Danio rerio: one gene and its partner. The protein of the gene in region 1 interacts with the protein of each later gene in a pairwise test. Links are inferred from orthologs where the notes say so. Each region holds a gene or a part of one and is shown on either strand. Other genes may lie near its edges.

Region 1 (9,081 bases):
GAAATACATAAACACAACATGGGTATACCAAATGTTATTTACCTACAAACCATTACTTGTGTGATGGTAGTGCTTCAGCTTTTAGTGTTCGCCGATTAGTTGTTGTGAAATGTAGTGAAACTTGTAGCTCCAACAGCAAATGCCCCGCACTGCTTGATGTGATTCTATGAAGAAAACAAAAATAAAGCCTTTGAAATATTAGCTTATCATTAAACTTTAAAATATGAATTTATTGAAATCTTTCAAGATTATCTGTCTGCTGTTGCTAAAATATTTGTTTACTGTATACATATGATGGGATATATTTGGTGAATCTCACCTGTTGTAAGTCAATCTTCCTCTAGGAATTTGCCGCAACCTTTAGTATGACAAAATTGCATTTAGGTGAATTATTGAAAAACCTATGATGAAAATTATCTTTTGGAAGCTGTTTGGACAGAACTGTGTGTAGGTATAGTGTGTCTACAGTCTAATTGGGATGATATAAAGACAATAGGATCCAAATCCCTCCCGTTTTGAGGCCCATCGCAACTTGATGTAAGGGTGTGGTTTACTCACCCAACGAATTGATTGACAGCCACAACACGAGCACAAAGCAACTGGATTTTAAAAATCTGTTCAGCTCGCTGTGATGATCAATTATTATCAAATCTGATCAAGAATATGTTTTACAAGTTTTAAACAGTTCATGTTTGTAATGTATTACACCAATTAACTTCAGCTGTACTTATCACCGCAGCCACGTATCAGTACAAAAATAACAAGATGTTTCAATCCTGGTTTGAGGACATTAAATCAGGTTTACTTTGTACATCAACATAACGGATTTCCATACAGCAGTGGATATTAACCTGTATCCTGTCACATTTGCATGCAACAACAGTGAAAAATTAAATGCGAGCATTGTGTGTGTATCTGTCTGTCAACTTTGTAATGACGTTGTGTGTGTCTCATCATTCTCCTTAACTCATTAACTCCACAAAAAAATACATCAAATAATCACTGGGAAAGATTTTACTGTAGTTTTTCTCACAACTTGAGAACTTTACTAAGCTTTAAAAATGTGTCCAAATAAAAGGTTTAATCTGCCAAAAGGAAGGAAAGCCAAAAAGAAAATTAATGAATGAACAACAATACATAATAAGTTCATATATATCAGTTAACACAATTCGAAGGAGTATTACTTACCAAATGTAATGATTGAACAATTAAAAAAAAATCTGGTGATAAATATCCTATGTGTCTGTCTTCTGGTGTTTAACTGGAAGTTGGCAAACTAACTTAATGGTGCATTTTCCACCACCTGCAGAATTGGAAGTATGGGGCGCAACTTAAAAGACGCTGGTTCTACCTATGTTTTTGAGTTGAGGCAACAAATACTATAGTGTGAGACACTGAAAATGCAGTGTATGTGCTTGTGCAACTGAACTGTAAAGTAATCCAGTACTATTATTGTTTGTTTTTAATATCTATTTTATAAAACAGTTGTCAATCTTTGCAGGCCTGTCCAATTTATTATTTTAGTGAGTCGACTCATTGCACTGAGGTGCTCACGGTGACCCAAGTTCGTTTACCGGCTTGAGGTCCTATGCCGATCCTTCCCCTATCTCTCCTCTCCATACTTTCCTCTCTATAACTCTCCACTGTCCTATCAAAATAAAGATGAAAACCCCTAAAAACGATTATTAAAAAAACTGAATATGTATGCATTTACACACATTTACATAAGTAAATATATAGACTTAATGATAACAATTTATTTGAAAAGGTCTATGGATTTCTGTGTGTACAAATTCCATATTCTCATCCAAAAGAGAACAATGTCCTTGTGAAATCAGTCAAAATGCATTATGTTTTCAATCATTAATTTTGCTTCGGCTTAGTCCCTTTATTCAGCAGGGGTGGCCAAAGCAGAATGAATCGCCAACTTATCCAGCATATGTTTTACATAGCGGATGCCCTTCCAGCTGCTAGCCAGTTCTGGGAAACACCTATACAGTTGCACATTTACACACATACACTACAGCCAATTTAGTTTTTTCAATTCACCTGTACTGCATGTCTTTGGACTGTGGGAGAAACTGGAGCGCCCGGAGGAAACCAACGCAACATGGGGAGAACATGCAAACTCCACACAGAAATGGCAACTGGCCCAGCTGGGGCTTGAACCAGCTAACTTCTTGCTGTGAGGCGACAGTGCTAACCACTGCACCACCTTACATTTTGTTTAATTACTGTTATCTGTAACAAAATGCTTTAAGTTTCTCTTTTGTAAGTCACTTTGAATAAAACATGAATTTATAATTTTATAGATTATAATAGAATGGTGAAACAAAAGGTGAACCTGACAGTTCCTTTTTAAGTTGAATTATATCATTGGAGAAACATGGATGATGTCATGAGGCCTGTGGATGCATGCCCTCTGCTGCATTGTCTCTGTGTGTGAATGATTCATACTCAAAGATGTAGGAGTCAGCTAAGGCTGGGGCTTGATGTGACATCATTACCACTTCCTGTTTTGTGGTGTTGCTGGGGAAACAGCTACTAGCATTCTGAGTTAGAGCAGGCTAATGATTCACACTGTATTTTCCTCCCTCCCACTTGTGTGTTTTCTTGCACTCTTTCCCTTGCGATGACCACAAAAGGACCACGTTGTTCTGAAACATCAGACACACCCCTTAGTTTTAACACAATCTGAAAGTATCCACATTCTGTCATACATTTCAAATCATGACATCAGTGGTTTAACACGATGATTAAACAAAACATTCTTGAAACAAGTAACAAAGCATAAATATTTAGTCACTCCAAACAAAATGTATTCCATTTAGGTTTCTAAAAAGAGTCTAAAGTGTTTAAAGTACAGCGGTATAGTAGATGCATTTGATTAAAAGTTAATTATCAACACTTACCAACATTACCAAGTGTGTTTACAATATTAGGCCTCTGTAAATATTTAAAATATATAAGCTATTATTTAAAAAAATAAATATTAAAACTTAACTTACTCTCAAAAAAAAAAAATTTAAATCATATTAAAAGTCCAAATCTTCAATAAAGTGGCAATAAAATCAATTGAAAGTGAAATAATAAAAAATAAATAAATAAATATTATAAGTTTAGGCTACTTGAAGGTTTGCAGTTTTCTTCTCATACTGAGTAACTGACCAGTTGTATCTTACTGTTTTCCACTGGTACTGTAACCACAAAAGGAAAGAAATACGTGTTTTATTTGGTTGGCCGTCGGAAAAAACAAACGTCTGGTAATCATTTGGATATACGGGTTAAGCCAGCAGTTAACGCGCTCATACATGCCCGCTCTCTTCTCTTTATCACACACACACACACACACACACACACACACACACACACACACACACACACACACACACACACACACACACACACACACACACACACACACACACACACACACACACACACACACACCATACGTTAATCGGGACCGTCCCGCGCACAGCTCCAGACAGCTGTTGGCGCAGCACGCACGCAGTAAAGCGCCTCCCCTTCCTTTTTTCTCCCTCAACGCTCCAATGTCCGCATCGGACGCCCGCTACATCCTCCGGTGGGCGGGTGCGCGGAGTCTGAAAGCACCTCCTCTTTTTAAAAAGCGGACCGCAATGATTTAGAAGTTCAGGAATCCCACGTGACGTCACCACAAGGTGATGTAATGCTTCTGTAAATAGATCATATTGTAATCGCGTTTCACTTCAGCGTGCTTCGTCCCAGCGCGAGGAGCGTTGCTTGTCTCAGTCTGCGTGCGTTTAGGTAAGTTAGTGTTACTGTTTTACAGTCAGTCTTTTGAATATAATTAAACACCTGATTTACAGCGCAAACAGTTTACTTGTTTTGTACAGTGTTTTGTGGGTTTTTGATGCGGTTGTTGTTGTTTTACTGTCAAGTTATGTCAAAGTGCCGGTTTCCACTGAGATGGGCGCAAACTGTTAGAATGTTTGTTTGAGGGGGTGTGACACCGCCGAATAAACAGGCGATAACAATATTCATATAAAAAAGGTTCTGACTGAAAACTGTCGTCTTTGCAAATCTTTAGTAAAGAGTGTAAACAAACTTGTCAGCAACCGGAGCGAATGTTGGACAGTTAGCGGTTCGAAGCCTATTCGAATTTTACGTTAAATCGAACACGATTTAACGGTTATAATCAAACACATGTGCATGTTTAGAGGAAGAAAGTATTTGCATTCGCTTTGTGTTTAATCAAACCGTGGATGACACCTGCCGACAGATATACTTCAGGGTGAATCAGCCAACTTTACTGTGTTTTTTTCTGCTAAATTAACATATCTGCCGCTGGTGAGATGTCTGCTCTTGGTTGTTTGGGTTTGTAATATTCGTGACACCGCGTGAATCCTCTGGTTTCGCCATTACGTCATTCTGCAGGCCAGTTAGACGCTTGGCATTAGCACCGTAGACCCGTCTTGCCAATTCAAACTCTTGCCCGGCTCAACTAAACGATGATGTCATAACTAGAGGAATGATCATTTTATGAGTAACCGGGCTAGAAGCATGCGTTTTATAAGGTACTTATCATATACAGAGAGCACGCACTGTACACAGAAGACAATTCATTTATAGGGAAATGTGAACAAAATATGGAGAACTGAAAGCAATACAAATAGTTTCAGTAATTAGATTCTATCTATCTATCTATCTATCTATCTATCTATCTATCTATCTATCTATCTATCTATCTATCTATCTATCTGTCTGTCTGTCTGTCTGTCAGTCTGGCATTAAAAAGGGTTCATAAAGTCTCTGTCTATTTATCTATTTAGACAGGCAGACAGACAGACAATATATGTAGGTGTCATTTATATCTGGCTGCTTGTCATGAGCACTTCATAATGTCATCTCCACTGCGCATGTGTTTGTATGTGTATTTTTATTAGGTCTTTTACATCTCAGATGATGAATGTTGATCAGGACAGGCCATTTGTGTGCATTGCTCCTGGATGCTCGCAGGTGAGTGACAGATGTCCTGTTTTGCTGCGGATTGTCATTTTTGCAAGCTATAATTGATTCATAGTTTAATACTTCTAAATAATTTTTTAACATTTATTTCTACATCAATTTTGTTTCTGATTCTTATAGAGCTTCCAAAGAGAAGACCACCTAATCATCCACAGACACAAACATGAGATGACGCTTAAATTCCCTTCTATTAAGTGTGACAGTATGCTTTCAGGTAAACACACACACACACACACACACACACACACACACACACACACACACACACACACACACACACACACACACATAATTACACACTGAAAGGGTATTTTATAATCAATGTTATATTAGGATTGTCAGAACAACGACAGTGTCAATCTAAATTCTGTGGGTCAGAAATATAAGAGCCTGGGAAAAGAGAATATGTGTTTGAGTGTCATGATAGGTCATGTTCTCCATCTCCTTTAATTTAGGATTTAGACAATGTCTGTTACCCTGGAAACTCAATGTCTGACATATAAACATCAGCCTGACCCTTAACCTTTGGGGTCTGTGAGCCATCACTGGAGCGGCAGAAACATTTACATAAAAAACAAAAGAAGGGCTTTACCTTCTGACCTCTTTCATGGTAGTCTAGAAAAAAGCGTTTGGTTTAGACTACCTCTAAATTACCAAAACAGCGAGAGCAAAATCAGGCTCATGTTTATGACATAGGGTTAATTTTTACCATTTTTTCAGCATGTCACGAGAGTACTTCTGACATGTTTCGCTTATGACATTGAGAAGAAGGCTAGCTTTTCTACATTTGTTTAGAAGGCCTGGAAGTTACTTGATATTGATCTACTTTATTTTGTTCTATGACCCTATGACATGCCTCCTATGTTTACATGTAGTGTATGACATATTTAAATATTCAATATATATTATAAACACCATACCACCTCAAAATAATTCTAGAGATACATAGATAACCCTGTTATAAAAATGCATTATTTATAATATTGTATGTAGCATACACCTATCTATAAAACAATATAATAATACAATATTTATTCATGTATACTGTGTATGAGATGGTATAATCAGATTTATGCATTCTTTGTTTCTTATTTGTGAATATATTGAAAAAAATTATTGCCTGAAAATATAGATATTTTTCTATATATTTTTTTAATTTATTATTATTTTTTTTCTGATATAAATGTACTTTATAAATGAACTCACCTTGTTCTAATTAATAAAAATCCCTATCGTATTGACTTCCTTTATTTATTGCCAGTGACATTTTTATGTGTGGCATTCTCTTTGCATTTGTGATTTGACATATATGTACTCTTTGTTCATCTATAGATCAGACTCCAACACCAACTCGTTTCTTACGGGACTGTGAGGAAGTGGGCCTCTTTACTGACCTGGAGCTTAACCAGTCTCAGACGGAAGAGCAGACCAAACCGGTGAGAGGAAGTTCATGTTTCAAATCTTACACACATGTTCAAATGAATAATATATTAATTTGCTTAACAGTCTTTACCACAAATAGAAGTCTTTAAGCTAGTTAAGTTTTACATTTAATTCCATATTTGCATATGTGTGTATGTCCATAATATGTGGAATGTACTAAGAATTAAAGGTATTAAAACAGTTCTCATATACAGATCTCTATAGAAGGGCAGAGTGGCAAAAAAAGTTGAAACTGCTCCTTTAACAGACATTTAACTGACTATAAGTTTAACTTGATCATTGAACTGACTTACACTAACCCTAACCTCAACCTAACTTATTATCTAATGAGAACTAGTTGGCATGTAGATGCAATGTAACTTAAATTCAACAAACAGACCTTCAAAATTAAGTGTGCTCTTTTCCTCTTTTTAGAACTTTTCTGCACAGACGTCAGCTCAGAGGCAGCCTCACACCGAAACACAACCTGAGCAAGGTCAACATCAGCAGTTTCAGCCTCAGCAACAGCAGTCGTGTGCACTGGCCCATCTGAACCAGAACCAGCTCCAGACGCACAGCTCACAGTGTCAGTCTCAATGCACTGCCACATACTCCAGTTCAAATAAGCAGTGAGTGTCACCAAAATATACTGTACCAGGAATATTATTATATCATTGGTTCTCAAAAAGGGGGCCCAGATAACTTAAACTAATATCAAACAAGCAAATGTAAAAAAATATATATTTCTTACTTTCACTTTCTCAATAATATATTTCCTTTGAGAGACCTCAATATATGGGGTAGCCTAATTTCAAAAACGTGATTATAAATTAATAGTCTTAAATTCCAGGGAACCACCAGTAAGAATCTTAAATAATTTATCAAAAATTTAACTGAAAATTTTATTTACCTTTGAATATATTTTTGTGTGAATTTTATTTTATTTATATTTTATATATTTATAACTTTTTATTGTTATACGTATTTGTTTTTATCATGCAATATGTTTATGTATATCCATTTTGCCATGAAATAGTTATGTTACTGTTGTGGCAATGAATAAATAATAAATAAATTAATAAATTCCAGGGATTTTAATATATGGACCCTCACAGAAAGTGGTTCTTAAGTTATAGAATACTGCTTTCAGGTCTTAGAACATCTGAGATTAGGCGTTTGGACCTGAAAATATAATATCAGGCTTAACAAGCAGATTGGTTGATCTCATGTGAGTGATAAGTTGTTCTGTCCTCACACCTAAAAACATGTCAAGAAAAGGATGTTAAAGCAGCATTGCTTATTTAAAAAAAAATTGCCAGCTTAACATCTCGGTGTAAAAATGTTTATAAAATGCAAATTAATGTTTCCCCTTAAAATATTTTACACTATTTTGCCCTTTACTATTAAATTCAATAATTTGTAAGTCTCTGACATTCTAAACTTCTTTCCAGTAAGTAAATAAATTATTTGTTTTTTTAGATTCATTTTAAGATTTTGCTAACTACTCATCTAGGCCCTTTTGGCTCATTACAGATCTGCACCCAGTTGTCTACACAGCAGACAGACAAACACTGTCAAATCAAACATGAATGTAAGTATAAAGTGAAGACTAATAATTATTGAAATTATACATCTGTTCCTTATTATGCATCACAATAACTGAAAATATAATTTAAACGACAGATGGAGTCACAGATGTCAATGAACTCCAGTATTATTGGCATACCAGGACCCGCCCACTCTGGCTCATGCTCCTCCGTTCAGGTACAGTCCCATCTAATGATGTGACTCCATAGTTACAGGATTATGATGTCTCTATAGAAACAGAACAAGCCAGACATGGGTTATAATGACACAGTACTTGGTAACTAATGTAGACTTCTTGACTGAGTTATCTAATTCAAACACATGCAATGTTTTAGTCCTGCTTGTTAAAAAAAAAGCTTCATTCAAACACACACTTTTGTTGGTATTGGTGGTTTATGAGGACTCTCTACAGGCTTAATGTATTTTATAGAATAAAAATTTACCTCTAGAGATAAACCTAGCCCTCACAGGAAACCTTAGGCAAAATTTGAATGTCAAAAGACTTAAATATCATTTATAAGCATTTAGAATTACAAGGACACAAGGCATGTCCTCATAAACCACCATAATATAGTACAGCTAGGTCATACTCATGTCAATAAACAAAAAACTATCCTTGTAAACTACCAAAACGAGTACACACACACACACACACACACACACACACACACACACACACACATATATATTCATGCGCTGACTCTCTTCAGAAAGTGGAGAAGATTGAATTTCAAAGGGTTCGGCTTGACCTGGTTATCATCTGACTTTTCAAAGGCGTCTTTGTAGATTCTGTGTTTTGAAATACTTAGTGCCAAGTAATCTTACCATTGCAAACAATCACCACACACAAGAATCCTGTGAAATTAAAAACACAAGCTTGCCTGCAATAGCTGGTAAAACAAATCTTGCTGGAGGAATTGTCCTATTAAATAGCATGCATAATCCATGCAGTGTTGCATGTCAGTGATGTTAACAGTAACCTCAGGAGCCATTCTGACCCATTTCTCCCCATCTCTTCAGCGGTCAAAGGTCATACCAGCCCACAGCCAACCTGCAGTTTCC
Region 2 (6,911 bases), on another chromosome or scaffold:
CACAGTCAACACCGCTCCACTAAATAAACCTGCCTGAAACATCCTCGGAGAGGGGGCGGAGCTTATTGGGTGCTCATTAACATATCTCCTATTATAGGCATGTTTCCGCATCCTGCAGCAGCTTCCCTCAGCTAGAGATACATTTGGATACACAGCGGGTAAAACAAGTATTGAACATGTCAGGATTTTACCTCGTACATATATTACTGTAAGAGTTGTTGACATGAAATTGACCCAGATTTTACATGACAATAAAAACATACTGATAAAGCTAACTCTCGACTCGAACTAGAGACATTCTTGCTGTGAGGCCACCACTGAGCCACTGCTGTATTTAATATTTGATCATATAGAGGATGGAGTCTCTGCATTGCTCAGGTGTGATCTGATTCCTATGATTGGCCAATGTTTCCTCATAATTCTGCCAGCAGCTTTATTTTCTGTTCTGAAATCAGCGAGCGAGGCCTCTCAGTAGCTTTATACTCATCTGCTCAATACTTTTCCCTGGTGTCATTTCATTTTACCACACACAGCTAAATTCCTGAACTAATCAGTTGTGTTTTCTTTGCATGTATGGATTACTTTAGTTGTTACCGACATCTGCTGACAATTTCAAGTCATCAGCACCTCTAGAAACATGTGAAGAGTGAAATGTTCTTCTACAATGAGCATTTCTCTCAGCCTCTTCTGTGTATGTTCAGTTATTTCACTTCTATGACAAAGAAGAGGTACTTTGGGGTGGAGCTACAAGTCTTTTAAGGCGGGACTTTCAATCCTTTGGGGCGGGGCTATCAGTCCTTTAAGGCGGGACTCTCAATCTTTTATGGTAGAGCAGAGCTATTAGTCCTTTAGGGTTATCAAATATTTAGGGCAGGGTTATCAGTCCTTTAGGGCGGGATTATCAGTCCTTTAGGGCGGGGCAATCAGTCCTTTAAGGCGGGACTATCAATCCTCTTGGCAGAGCTATCAGTCCTTTTGTGCGGGTATATCAATTCTTTAGGGCGGGGCTATCAGTCCTTTAGGGCGGGACCATCAAACCTTTATGGCAGAGCTATTAGTCCTTTAGGGCGGGGATATCAATTCTTTAGGGTGGGGCTATGAGTCTTTTAGCGAGAGACTGTCAGTCCTTTAGGGTGGAGCTATCAGTCCTCTAAGGTGGGACTATCAATCCTTTATGGCAGATCTATTAGTCCTTTTGGGCGGGGATATCAATTCTTTAGGGCGGGACTATCAGTCCTTTAGGGCGGGACTATCAATTCTTTATGGCAGATCTATTAGTCCTTTTGGGCGGGGATATCAATTCTTTAGGGTGGGGCTATCAGTCTTTTAGGGCGGGACTATCAGTCCTTTAGGGCGGGACTATGAATCCCTTATGGCAGATCTATTAGTCCTTTTGGGCGGAGATATCAAATCTTTGGGGTGGGGCAATCAGTCTTTTAGGGCGGGATTATCAGTCCTTTAGGGCGGGACTATAAATCCTTTATGGCAGATCTACTAGTCCCTTTGGGCGGGGATATCAATTCTTTAGGGTGGGGGTATCAGTCTTTTAGGGCGGGACTATCAGTCCTTTAGGGCGGGGCTATCAGTCCTTTAAGGCGGGAATATCAATACTTTAATGCATAGCTATTAGTCCTTTAGGGATTTCAATTCTTTATGGCAGGGCTATCAGTCCTTTAGGGCGTGGCTATCAGACTTTTGGGGTGGGGCTATCAGTTATTTAGGGCGGGGCTATCTGAACTTTAGGGCGGGGTTATCAGGGCATGTCTGCCCTGATTTTATCCATTCATCAATCTTCCTAGATTGTGTTTCACAACACCCGTCTTCCAATTATCCAGTATTTTTTAGTATTTTCTCATTTTAAGACTGTTTGAATCAGATGCACAATACGATAGTGGAAAAAGTCTTTCATTTCATGCCACAAATAACCAAACACAGACATGGGAGGCTGAGCAAAATGCTCATTTCAGCAGACAGTGTCTGATGGCATTGATGAACTCTTCGTATTTTAGTGAGAGAAATCCTGTCGTGTCAGCAATACTCATTTTACCCCCCATACACCATCAGTTTGTGCCTCAGGATGGTTTCCCCGGCGTGTGTCCCGGCGTCTGGTTCCAGCTCTGCAGTTTGCAGTAAACAGTGTTGGAGTTCTTGCAGCGGCAGCCGGGCCGCGTCAGCCGATCATGGCAGGAGTTGCAGGCTTTAACGCAGCCTTTCGCGGGCAGATAGCACAGCAGGCAGGGGAACAGCGTCGCCATCAGGCCCATGCACAGAAAGCGCGAGCAGCACTGCGGATGCGATAATGAACACGGCCTGTCAGCGCAGGCGTCTCCAACATCGTCATCGTCCTTGGAGCAATGATAAAAAATGCCCTTCACCAAACACATGCACGTGCCCTGCTCTATCACGTTCTCCGCCGAACACAAACACAATCCGTTGCATGCGAGCCGCGCCGGCAGCGCTCGCGGAGCCGTGCACTCGCTGCATTTACACTTCCCGCAGCTCTCGCAGATGTACAGATGCGCAGAGTCTCTGCTATCCGCATGCATCTGTTTCAGGGGAGCGTCCGGCGGCAGAAAGGGAGCGTTCAGAGATTTGGGCTGAGTCCGTACGCTGTTCCTGTGATGCTGTGGTGTTCTGGAGAGTAAACCCAGCTCGGATCCTGCACTGCTGCTGCTCTCGGAGCTCCCGGTGCTGGTGGATCTACTGAGACCCGGCGGACGCACTAATAACGAGGATTGTGGCTCGTAATTATTGTTGACGTTCACCAGGATCACTTCATGAGTCCTCTCATGTTTGTGTGCGTGACGCGGTGGCGGTGGTGGTCCCGGGGCCGGTCTCCGGGGGACTGCCGGGCCCTCAGTGTATTCGTTATTACTGCGAATGGCTTTGATCTGGTCCAGGGACAGGACGGCCCCGGGGTCCGCATGCCCACGCTGACCGCGGAGATCCATAAGACACGATCAGCAGCTCCAGACCACACAGCAATGCTCATCTGACAGCCTGAGAGACACGGAGAGAGAGAGAGATGAGGTTTTATAAGTGCTTTATTACAGTTATGTAGGGGTGTAGTGGATGATGGTTGATCCGTGATCTGTAGCGATCATAAACCAAAGTTTGGAACACACGTGCCCAATATAAGGATCGCAAAAAGATTCACATATATGAACACATTTAATCTGCTCTGTAAAATATGATGATGGCTGAAGAAGTTGTGGAGGCATCTAAAGCCTTTCCTAAGTTATCACCAGAGTTTTCCGGCAGTAGTTTATCCTGCATCAATGCATTCAGTGTAGAGCTGCACAACTCATCATCATTAGATCGGGATGTCAATTCCAACACCTATGCAACATAATTATAAAGGTGAAGATGATGATGATGATGTGCACATATTTATTAATCCTTCAAAGCGCTGCGTTCAGATCTGTGTTTAATCGTGGAGGTCTTTTGAGTGGAGTTAGAGTTACAATCCAATAACACAGGAGAACTGAGAGCCGTTCATAGTTCAGATATAAACACTGATGTTTACAGTAAATACATGTGAAATGACAGGTTCTAAGTTGTGTTTCTCGCAGTGCTGTTTTAGTAATAAATGGAAAGCAAGCTATTTGTCTCCTCCCTGTTTTGGCTGATCGGAAAACTGGTGCGATCCGAACCGTGAGATCTGTGATCTGTCACACCACTACAATTATACAATTATAAATCAATTAACAATGCAAAAAAACACATCTTATAGCAACATATATTTGAGAAAGAGGGATTTGAGGTTTTATAAGTACTTCATTACAATTACATGACTATACTCTGTAATGAATTGTTGCTGCTTTAATATTTTTACTTGAATTAAATGAACTTTTCCAGTCATCAATCCTGACATCAATCAAACTGAGTAAACATGCGGAGTTGAACTTAGTCGAACTTAAAACATGCAGATGAACCTGGAATAACTTATTAAAATAAGCTGAAGTAACAGAAAGACATTTGCTGCATGACTTATTCAGTGTGTCAATCAGCAATCTACATTAAACAACAATAGCTAAACATTAAATTAATCTCTACCACAGACAAAAGCACAACTTTACAGCACCATATGTTGGAGAGAGAGAGAAATAGAGAGAGAGTAATATTAGGACAAAAAAAATTTACTTTAAATTACTTTACATTTGTTTATTTATTCATTTATTTTTATTATTATAATTTATTATACTATTTATTGTGTGTGTGTGTGTGTGTTTGTGTATATATATATATATATATATATATATATATATATATATATATATATATACATTTGTAACATGTGTCATGCCAATAAACCAATTATTGAATTAAATTGAGAAAGACAATGCAATTTAATTGTTATGATGTTTAGTTTCTATTATTTTGATCTTTTTTCATAGTTATACTCTTCCACATATATCAAGCTTTGGCTATGTTGTCTTTTTACAGTCATGTCAATTATTAAAAGTAATCTGAGAGGGAGAGAGCGAGGTCTTTCACAGCCTGCAATTAATGCAACGGTGTTTGCAATGCCTATTCTCCACATTAATTACGTTTAAACATCTTTCTGTGATGACCTGATTAAGCTCTATTTCTACTGTTTTTTAATTAAATGCAGTTAACATTTGTAGTCAGTTTGACTGATGTCAGTGATATTTTCAGTGCACTTTTAAGTGGACTTTTTAAATTAATTCCCAGAGGAGCAGGTGATATGATTGATCGCGGCTGGCCTCTTATTGGTAATCAGCAATAATCCAATCAAATTGATCCAATCCTTCAATAAATAGACCTAATTCACACTACTGCCTTATCTTTGTTTTGGAAGAATCCCCCCTTCCACCTTATCTCCTCTTTTTTTACCAGGAAGAGCTCTCGAGAACTACCTGATCTTGGACCCCCTTACATGCTAAAAGACCAGGCGGGAGTTATCTCTGAGCTGGGGTTAGGGTTAATATATATATATATATATATATATATATATATATATATATATATATATATATATATATATATATATATATATATATATATATATATATATATAATTTAATTTTAAGGCATTGGTTATAACCATCACAATTGAATGGTCTTTTAAATAACTAAACATTGGTTTATCTATATATTCTTTATAACAGTATAAGTATAACAGAATAACAGAAGTATAAAGTCAAGAATAACACATTAAGATGTTGCACAGGTATATTTTGGGCAACAGCCAAATACACTCTATGAGTCATGAATATTTTGTTATATGCCAAAAAATCATTAGAATCTGACATAATCATGTTTCATGAAGACATTCAGTAAATTTCTTATGTTAAACATCTCAAAAATATATGTTGATGAGTAATATGCATCACTAAGAACTTCATTTAAGCAACTTTAATTGTGATTTTTCTCAATATTAAGATTATTTTTGCATGTTCAGATTCCAGATATTCAAACAGATTTTTACACCCAAATATTTTCCAATCCAAACAACAATAAAAACCTGTTTTTATTTAAATTTGACTCTTTTTTTTGTGCTCACATATTATAACTTTTTCTTAATAAACACTAATGCATGAACACCTTCACAATGCATTACACATATTTAACCACAAATACTTGTAGTATTATTCACTTAAAGCTTATTTTACTGGATGCATCTTTTTAGGACCCTTATTTTTAAGTGCACTTGGTCAAAGAAAAGCGTACCGGTAATCTAGCATTAGTGTTTACTGGAGCGTTGTAAAACTGTTGAAACACATGCACGCTCTCCGGGGCCCCACGCTTTTGTTTTTCACTTCCTTTGGGGGTTCAAGCCTTAATTAGAGGGTCAAACCCCCCGGACACACCATTCACACCCTGGTGTTCGGGATGCGCGTTCACAGCGGGTAATTCGCGCGCTCGCGGATCCGGACTGGACGTGTGCAGATGTACTTACAGAGACAGCGCTCTTAAATCAGTGTGTGTGTGTGCGTGAAGTGCGGGTCTCGAGCTCTGTTTCCTCTATTCACAGAGACATTTAACCCCCGACCAGAGACATCACACGCACACACACACAATCAAGCTGGAGGTTGTTAAATACACTGTAAAATCATCTGTTATCTGAACAATTTCCGATGGGGAGTTGCATTAAGGGATGTTGATCTCTGCTCTGTTCACTTTTGATGTTGAAAATTCACCTTTACAGTTTGACAAAGTGACTTTTATTGACATTTGTGTAGTTTGAATTAATATATTCTACAATAAAATAATATCTAGAGTAGAAATAATCTGTAAATGAACAGAACATGTGCTGACCAGGCTTTTATAGCGTTATATACAACACAGCACAGACAATATAGCCCTTTAAACCACTAAAAATGTTTATAAAAGTCACTTTTCTCGACCTTTCCAATGTTGAACGTAGCTGGAAGAAAGATTAAGGTCCCATAATGCAACTCAAAAGCAGAAATAAAAAGAAAAAACAATAATAAAATACGAAAAACTGCTAATTTACGGATATTTTCACAGTGTATGCTGTTTATTATTATTGTTTAATTCGAAAATGTTGGTTGTTCATTATTATTAATTGTTTTTCTCGCTACTATTATAATATGCCATATGTTCTGTATAATGTAAACATTACAGATGCTTTACCAATGCTATACATAACTTTTGCCATGTCAATAAAGCAAGTTTGAATTAAATTGCATTGAGAGAGAGAGAGAGAGAGAGAGAGAGAGAGAGAGAGAGAGAGAGAGAGAGAGAGAGAGAGAGAGAGAGAGTTGACTATTAACAAGACTTTGTACCGACCTCAATAAGCACACAAGTGAAGTAAAGTACAAATACTTCCCGTGCTGATTTGCATGTGTATGGCTGCTTAACATTAAAATGCAGAGCCACACCGAGCAGGAAGACTTCAAATCAAACACTGAGCTTCACACGCT

Evidence for each region.
Region 2: the proteins of creb5a (region 1) and spry1 interact in binary tests that used the Homo sapiens proteins (3 or more experiments, as listed by UniProt). The two-hybrid records come from large-scale screens. The link is inferred for Danio rerio from reciprocal best matches to the Homo sapiens genes CREB5 and SPRY1.

What each region holds. Positions count from the first base shown.
Region 1 is NC_133194.1:21,758,191-21,767,271, reverse strand, and holds the start of creb5a (cyclic AMP-responsive element-binding protein 5), read left to right. Parts: upstream 1-3,728; 5' UTR 3,729-3,789; intron 3,790-4,928; 5' UTR 4,929-4,944; coding exon 4,945-5,001; intron 5,002-5,130; coding exon 5,131-5,224; intron 5,225-6,342; coding exon 6,343-6,446; intron 6,447-6,867; coding exon 6,868-7,061; intron 7,062-7,965; coding exon 7,966-8,023; intron 8,024-8,115; coding exon 8,116-8,196; intron 8,197-9,039; coding exon 9,040-9,081. UniProt on the Homo sapiens protein: Binds to the cAMP response element and activates transcription.
Region 2 is NC_133189.1:682,911-689,821, forward strand, and holds spry1 (protein sprouty homolog 1), read right to left. Parts: upstream 3,346-6,911; 5' UTR 2,952-3,345; coding exon 2,073-2,951; 3' UTR 2,061-2,072; downstream 1-2,060. UniProt on the Homo sapiens protein: Inhibits fibroblast growth factor (FGF)-induced retinal lens fiber differentiation, probably by inhibiting FGF-mediated phosphorylation of ERK1/2. Inhibits TGFB-induced epithelial-to-mesenchymal transition in lens epithelial cells.